Linked DNA regions of Danio rerio. Each later gene encodes a partner of the first gene's protein in a complex. Links are inferred from orthologs where the notes say so. Each region holds a gene or a part of one and is shown in the gene's direction. Other genes may lie near its edges.

Region 1 (3,832 bases):
ATTAAGCAGCTATGCTCTGCAAAGTTAAAAAACGAGGCATATTAATTTGTATTAATAAGAATGTTTCTTAGTGTCAGCCACATTATACAACATTATAAATAGTTTGAACATTAATACAGTACTGTTTTTATAGGTTAAAAAAAACAAACAAAATGAATGTGTTTGTCAGAAAAGTAAGTGATCGCATGCAAAAAATACACAGCTTGACCAATTCATACATGATTTATTTATTCATACATACAAAATTTCTATGATTTGAGATCTCATCTTTTGTAGACAGAGTAAATGGGACCTTAGTCTCTGTGTGCAGTTAACCCAAACTTCACTAATACATTTTAGTTTTTAAAACACAAGTTTGGCTACAGTTTTTAAGCCCCGAAAACTGAGCTTTTTGAAAACGCTGAAGAGGCCATTTTCATTTTACAACACTGCTGCTCTTTGTCATTGTGGATGGGGGAAACTGAGACATCTTAAACGGAGGCATGGCTGCAGACGTTCGCAATCTGATTAAGGCTTTTTCTTAATATTAAGTGCATAAAGTTCAGTTTTGCATCTTTTCCTTAAGATCCGACTTTGCAAGTTTGATATGGAAAATAAACTCCCAAGGACATGTCGGGTGTACCTTCAAGGAAAAGTGTAGTTTATAACGTCATTCACATCACTCTGGCTACGCTGTTTCACTATCTTAATAATAACAATCAAATGAAAACATGATCTAAGGAACTGCCTACTTTCATTTTGATATTAACAACTTAACAGATGCCAAAAATGTAAGGCATCATGTAGCTACATATTTATGTCATATTCACTGTATGCATATTTATAACAAAACGGAGCCTATAACTTAACTGCCTCCTTTAATGTTCTTCAAAAAATATGAAACATACCCTCTCTTTTGTTGAATATCAGTTTTAATAATCAGTAATATCAATTATAAAAATATAATGTACTATAGGTTTATACAATATAGGCAAGCAATCAGTCAAATGTGCACTATCAGTGTTTGTAGTTACATTAATTGATGTATAATTTGCGCTCCGCCAAAACGCGTTACCAGAGAACAAGTAATAGATTTAAAAGACCAAAGAGTCAATAGATAGTCAAGATGACTTTAATCTATCACATTTAACAACTATAATTAGATAAAATCCAGCAGTAGATCTATGGTGAACTTTGACGTGCGCTGCTCTTACCTGGGTAGGTGGGTGTTTTGACTTCATGATGTAAGAATAGGCATTGAAGTAAATAACATTCATATTGTGACAGTTTTTTTGTAAATAGGAGAAGAACCATGCATCAAGCAAATTACTGCCAAAAAGAGAATAGTTTATTATACAAAAATCAAAGATAAACAGAAAATAGTTATGAGAAAGAAGAATAAAATAGATGACAACAAATAAAAAACATTTAAATTATATACAATTTATAATAACAAAATCCAAAAACAATAAACCCCGCAGGGGAAAAGGACAAAAGTGGCGCTGAAAGAAAAGAAAATAACAAAAACAAAAATCAAACTCAGTATAATCCTTTAACCTAACTGAAATAAAATAATCGAAAGCAAGTCTTCGGCGTTTACAAGCCCTAACTTGCCTACTCTAAACTTAACCAAACCGTAAAATACAAAGCCAGCGCTCACTCTTAAACCTGGTGTGTCTATACACACTTTAACTAAGTGATGTAAGGATGTACGTCATGTGACATCTACCTCTCCAAATCTCCCTGGGTAAAACAAAGAATATCAACAAAATTTCAAACAAACAACAAAAATAATATTAATGAAGATAAACATAATGGCAAGAACAACTTTTGACAAAGCAATATTAAGTACCACAAAAAAACAAAAGAAATAACGAGTGGCAGACTAAAACAAAGAACAAAACAGGAACGCAAAAGCCTCTGTCCGGCGTCCCACTCGTCGTCTTTTTAAAACCCTGGCAACCACTCAGATTGACTGCCGAAGCCACCACATCACTGAAGATAATGATGATTGACTGCTCCTACAGCCAATAACAATTCGAAGGGGGTTGACTCTTTAAAACTGAAAGAGAGAAGAGAGACAGAGAGAACAGGTCCGCGTGTGCGCAAGAGAGAAAAGAGAGAGACATGCATGCAAAATTCCAGGAGCGTAACAGTGGCCTTTAATTGGGCTATATTTTAGCTCCAAGCTTCATGCATGGCGAATTTGCTTGAGTCTATGTTTTGTGTTGAGCAACATTTAAATCACATCCAGATTAATTGGCCTAAATCTGACATAACAAATTAATCGAAAGTCACACTGCTTTACAAAACAAATTTCTATATCAAAATAACAAAAACTTTATATATCAAAACGTGCTTTAAATTTCATAACTATGGACACATTTTAACACATTTGTTATAATTGTTTTACCAATGATGCAGCATGGGGAAATTCCTGACTTTGCAGTAACTGAAATGTCAACACTGCACTGGTTTGCAAAAGTGCTTCACTAGCGCATATCTGCTCCAAGCGCTGTAGCTGTGCACCTCTTTTTCTGGCTCTGCACCAAAGTGGGTTGATTTTTAGCGTATGATGGAGTGATGAACTAAAGTAAACATTATAAGCACACCGATGTGATCGTATGCTTCAGGGAACAGCTGGCACTGATCACATTAGTGTAATTGTTTGCTTCAAAGGGTTAAAAGTGTGTTCATTTTTTTCTTTCTTTTATTATTCAATATTTCTCCACGTACCTCTAGATGAAAGTACCACAGTTTAAGAACCACTGCTTTAGTTTTAATAGGGCTATAAAATCAGTATCTTGTTTTATAGAGGAAAAAATATTTTCATACAAAACATTTTTTTTAAGTGTAAAATGTATTCTTTATGAAATACAAACTTAAAATAATTTGATAAAATAAAAAGTAAACTGTATAGGAAGTTTTCCCCCTCTGTTTTAAGAACAACTGTGAAACTATTGAAGTCAATATTTAAAAGGAGATTGCATCTTTGTCACCTTTTTTCTTTTTTGGAATTTGAGCTGCTATGATTTTATTGGTATCAAATGGTGTCATTCCATTATGTTTTTTTTCCCCTGTCGTCTTGATTATTTTCAGTATGCGGTCGATTCTGAGAAATCACCGTTTTCGCCGGGATGCACGGACACTGGAAGACGAGGAGGAGATGTGGTTTAATACGGATGAGGAAGACTTAGAGGATGGTGAAGCAGTTGTGCCTCCGTCGGACAAGATGAAGAATGACGAGGACCTTATGGATCCCATCAGCAAATTTATGGAGAGGAAAAAATGTATGTTACTGCTACTTACAGGATGGTGTGATGATCAGCTAGTATTGTCCTCCACTTGATTGCAAGATAATATTATGTAATGTGTGTTGTTTGTTTGATTGATAACTTTTTTGTACTTTCTCCTTCACTTTCCACAAGTGAAAGATTCAGAAGAGAAGGAGGTGTTGACAGGGAAAGCAAGTCTCTCAGGACGGCAAAGTCCCAGTTTTAAACTGTCCTTCTCCAGCTCGCCAAAGGCAAGCCTGTCCTCTCCGCCGACTGCATCCCTTCATCCCGGTTCACCTGGTTCTCCTAGCTCTCCCGGGACAGGGGCCCGGAGCTCTCCCCCTTCGGCAGCTGTCACCACTAAGGTATTTAACAAGAATTGAAAGTGCTTTAAAATTCTAGTTGTTTCCTTTTTTACTATTGTAAGACAAAGTATTTGGCAGGGTTCTAACAGGTGCTGGAATTGCTTGAATTTTAATCTACTGTTTTTTTAAAGGTTTAAAAAGTGCTTAGATTTTGGATAAAGTGCTTAAAACTGCTTAAAAAATGTAATTGCTTTTGCAATATTGTATTTTACT
Region 2 (3,932 bases), on another chromosome or scaffold:
AAATGTATAAATAAAAATGTCATTATCTCAGAGGACAACATGATGATTTTACCCATCTCATTTTAGAATTTGTAATCTGTAAGTTTTGTTGTGTAATTGCAGCCTTTTACTGTGTTGACTGTGCTTTTTTTGTGTGAATGTGGGAAAATGGGTGTGTTTTGATGTGTGTTTTTATATGTTCATTAGCACAATGTGCTTAATTATATTTGTGACTAGTTTCCAACCTCCTGTCACTGGTCTGGGATCAGTGATGAGATTTATTTAACTGGAGACTATTATTCATCTCATGTTATGTTTGTGTGAAAAGATGGAGCACCAGGAATGTTCTTCTCTCGTGTTTTTTTTTCTGTTCTTCTTTCTAAATGTCTTATATTATATGTATTATTGTCCTTTTATACAGAAGTATGTCAAAAATGTAAAGAATAAATATGCATTATTTTAACATTGTCTTATGCAGTTCTTTTTGCATAATGTATTTTTGTATGTTTTGTATGGTAGTTTAAAATTCAGGAGCAACTTTGGTCCTACCTGTGCTTATTAAAAGAGACGTATTCAGTTATAAATAGTCTATTAATTTCAGTCAGGTTGTTGTTGTTGTTAAATCGTGGTAAGATGCCTATTTCCATGCTGTCTTGCAATATATTGTATTAACCCCCAGACAATAGGCTATAGTCTATGCACTGGAAACACTAACATTTTTAAAAGACACTATAAAGATGACCTAATATTAGCATGATGTTTTAGTTGGATGGTTACAAGTACATTTTGTAAAATTAAGAGCAAGAAACAGTCACGTGTTTAGACAGAAAGATGAGTGTTCAGTTATTATTTGCAAACACTTTTGGGTTTAATAGACGTCTAAAAGACATCTAAACGTAGGCAGCTTGGCTAAAACAAGACTAAACTTGGGCTGTCACTGAAAATCCAATACACGTGTAAGAATAGCCCAAAACTAGACTAGTCGTAAAATAGACAGACTCTATATGTGTAGTCTTTCATTTCTGTTTATTTGATGACTGGTCTAGTTTTGGCCTATATTCTTAAACGTCTATTCTATTTTCACTGACAGCCCAAATTTAGCCTTGTTTTAGCCGAGATGACTATTTTTGGACATCTATTAGACCTCTTTTAAAAACATAAAATGCTTGCTGGATGGGCTGATTATTTCAGTCAGGTTGTTTCAAATCCTTGCAGGATGCCTACTTCAATATCATTATGGGTGTACACTTAAATGACCATTCCACAGTTTGTATTATATTTATCTATTATTATTAATCAGTACAGTGCAATATAAATACCCCTCAGACAATTTATTTAGACATCAGCCCTGTAGTAGCCTAGGCTTTGTAGCTGAATGATTTGGCTAGGCTACGTTTTGTTTTAGTTACAATTCAGAGCCAGATTAGTCATTCTAATGTTTAATTAAATTTACAGACGAGAGTTCAGGTATAAATAGGTTAAATAATTCAAGTCACATAGAAGTGTTTCAAATCCTTGTAGGCTGCTAAACATTAACAGCACTTATGATCATACACTTAGCTCGAAATGTGACTATTCTGCTTTAAAATACCGCCTACACGAGACGTTCACTAGGTATTGCTGCACAGCAACAAAAACACTGTGTTCAACCACCCAGAAATGATGCCTAAATAGGAGGCTGACTAGGCTTTGGAACGCGGCCATGCTATTGCGCAACAGCCAGCGCTCCTGAAGAGCGGCCGGCAGTGACGTCGCAGTCGCCGCCATATTGAAATGTTTCCCATCTCCTCTTCTTCACTGAGCTCAACAGCAGCCATCAGCTCTCGCTTTCCAACAGGAGACAGGGAAAACAACACAGACATGGAGATAGACACTCTTCTGGAGGCTCTCAAAGGTACCCGGTCGCGTGTGTTGAGGCGGTCAGGGCGAGTTTAGGATGGAGTTATATGTGGTTATTGTCTGGTTAATGTGAGTTAGCTCATGCTAGCATGGCCTGTGGCTAAATGGCTTTTCCTGTTTTTCGAGGTCTGTTGTGTGTTAAGAGCAGATCAGCAGGTTTCATTCTTCTATTTTTACGACGACTTTAAATTTCTGTCAGAAAATGGAGGGTTGGATTATTAATACGTTAATAAAAAGGCTATTGTTGGAGTTTACTAGGTAGTGGACTGCTATGATGTAGAGTTGAATTAAGTATTCTAACCTTACACATCTGTGTGTTCAGTGTTAACTATAAACTTGTGAATGATTTTAACATTTTCTTTGTGAGTTTGTTCTTTCTTTAACGTGATTTTCTTTTTGTATTTAACGAGAAATCTTTCATTTAAGTTGCACTTTAGCTCTGCTCTTAGCCTAGTTTATTTAAAAAAATATCAATGAATAATTTCTCATTATTATTTATATGTTTTAATAATGATTTTTGTGAGTAGTACAAATTGTTTTGGTGACAAAATAATATAATACTACTATTTATTGTACCTGTATGAGCTTTATGTAAGTGTGTTTGGAATAGGATATTTTCTCATATTTCTAATGAAAGCTCACAATTGTCTGATCAAGGCCTATTTGATGTAAATGAGTGATTTGCCGTTCTTATATTTATTTTTTATATACGTATATTGTTTATTTTTTAGGGAAGTGGAAGTGGTTTTGATCACTAAATGATTATATATATATATATATATATATATATATATATATATATATATATATATATATATATATATATATTGTTCCAAATTGTTGAAAGGTAACGGCTAAAAGATATAACAAAGTTATGGAACTTGTAAATGAGTTTAAGATTACAAACGACATGTTTACATAACCTAGATGTTTATCATAGTTGCACTGCTTGCCTGTTAATAGATCTGTGCTTGGAAAATGATTCTATATTTTCATAAAGGTGTGCATAATATTATAGTTGTTTCTGGACGCTCAGAATAGAAAATTGTGTTTGGTTTTAATGCATGAAGATTATCTAGAAAGAGAGCCGCTTTGTAGTTGTGTGAAAATACGAACAAATAATTGAAAGAACAATAAACGACTATTTCCTCCTTATATTTGTGATGTCTGAACTAGAATGGAGTCAATCAGAACTAAAATATTATTGATAGACTGAAATGCATTAGCAGGATTTGGAGTTGCATGCACTCCAAAATAACTTTTGCTTTTGTCTCCTGCAGATTTTGACAAGAAGGTGAAGAAGGAAGCGTCTACAGTTTTGGACCAGTTTTTGTGCCATATTGCAAAGACTGGGGAAACCCTGTAAGTACATTCAAATATCTATGAGTGATCTAAGTGGGACACAGAAACCCTTTTCACCTTTGTCTTCTAGTGGTTTGTTAAAAATCATAACTGCTTTTTTAGGTAACACCAGAGGGTGGGTTGTTATATGACCTTTTGGTTTTGTTCCAAAACAAACTAAACCTTGTACTTATCGACTAGATCTGACTTGGCCGACCTGCTCTCATTTCATGAACTCTTTAGAATACATGAATGAAAATTAAAAAAATATTAATATCTATCTCTTTGTAATACTTCTGCTGTCAAATATATTTGCTCAATGACACTGAAATGTGTTATTAACAGTCGTGCTGGTTTTATGCCACTCACATCACCCTGGACTCTACTCACATTATGTAACAATTGCAACCAAATCATTTAAAGCCCATATAATAGTAAGTTATATAATAAACAGCTTTGTGACTGACAAATCTAAAAATAAACTGAGCTGTGAATGCTGTATATCTCTTCAGGGTGTCCTGGTCTCAATTTAAAACCTACTTCGTATTTAAACTGGAAAAAGTAATGGAGGATTTCCATGCATCGGCTCCAGAGCAACGAGGGCCTGCCAACCCTAACGTGGAGTCAATTCCCTTTGAAGAAATGAAGGAGCGAATCCTAAAGATTGTCAATGAATACAATGGGTAAGTTTGTTATTCTTGGCGAAACTGTGG

What was found.
Region 2: smek1 (region 1) and ppp4r2b share a complex: the UniProt entries of both Homo sapiens proteins name them as parts of the PP4 complex. The link is inferred for Danio rerio from reciprocal best matches to the Homo sapiens genes PPP4R3A and PPP4R2.

The regions. Positions count from the first base shown.
Region 1 is NC_133195.1:36,337,860-36,341,691, reverse strand, and holds part of smek1 (serine/threonine-protein phosphatase 4 regulatory subunit 3), read left to right. Parts: intron 1-720; exon of another isoform or gene 721-1,481; intron 1,482-3,078; coding exon 3,079-3,269; intron 3,270-3,407; coding exon 3,408-3,619; intron 3,620-3,832. UniProt on the Homo sapiens protein: Regulatory subunit of serine/threonine-protein phosphatase 4. May regulate the activity of PPP4C at centrosomal microtubule organizing centers.
Region 2 is NC_133181.1:46,718,317-46,722,248, forward strand, and holds the start of ppp4r2b (serine/threonine-protein phosphatase 4 regulatory subunit 2-B), read left to right. Parts: upstream 1-1,749; 5' UTR 1,750-1,839; coding exon 1,840-1,873; intron 1,874-3,158; coding exon 3,159-3,240; intron 3,241-3,731; coding exon 3,732-3,902; intron 3,903-3,932. UniProt on the Homo sapiens protein: Regulatory subunit of serine/threonine-protein phosphatase 4 (PP4). May regulate the activity of PPP4C at centrosomal microtubule organizing centers.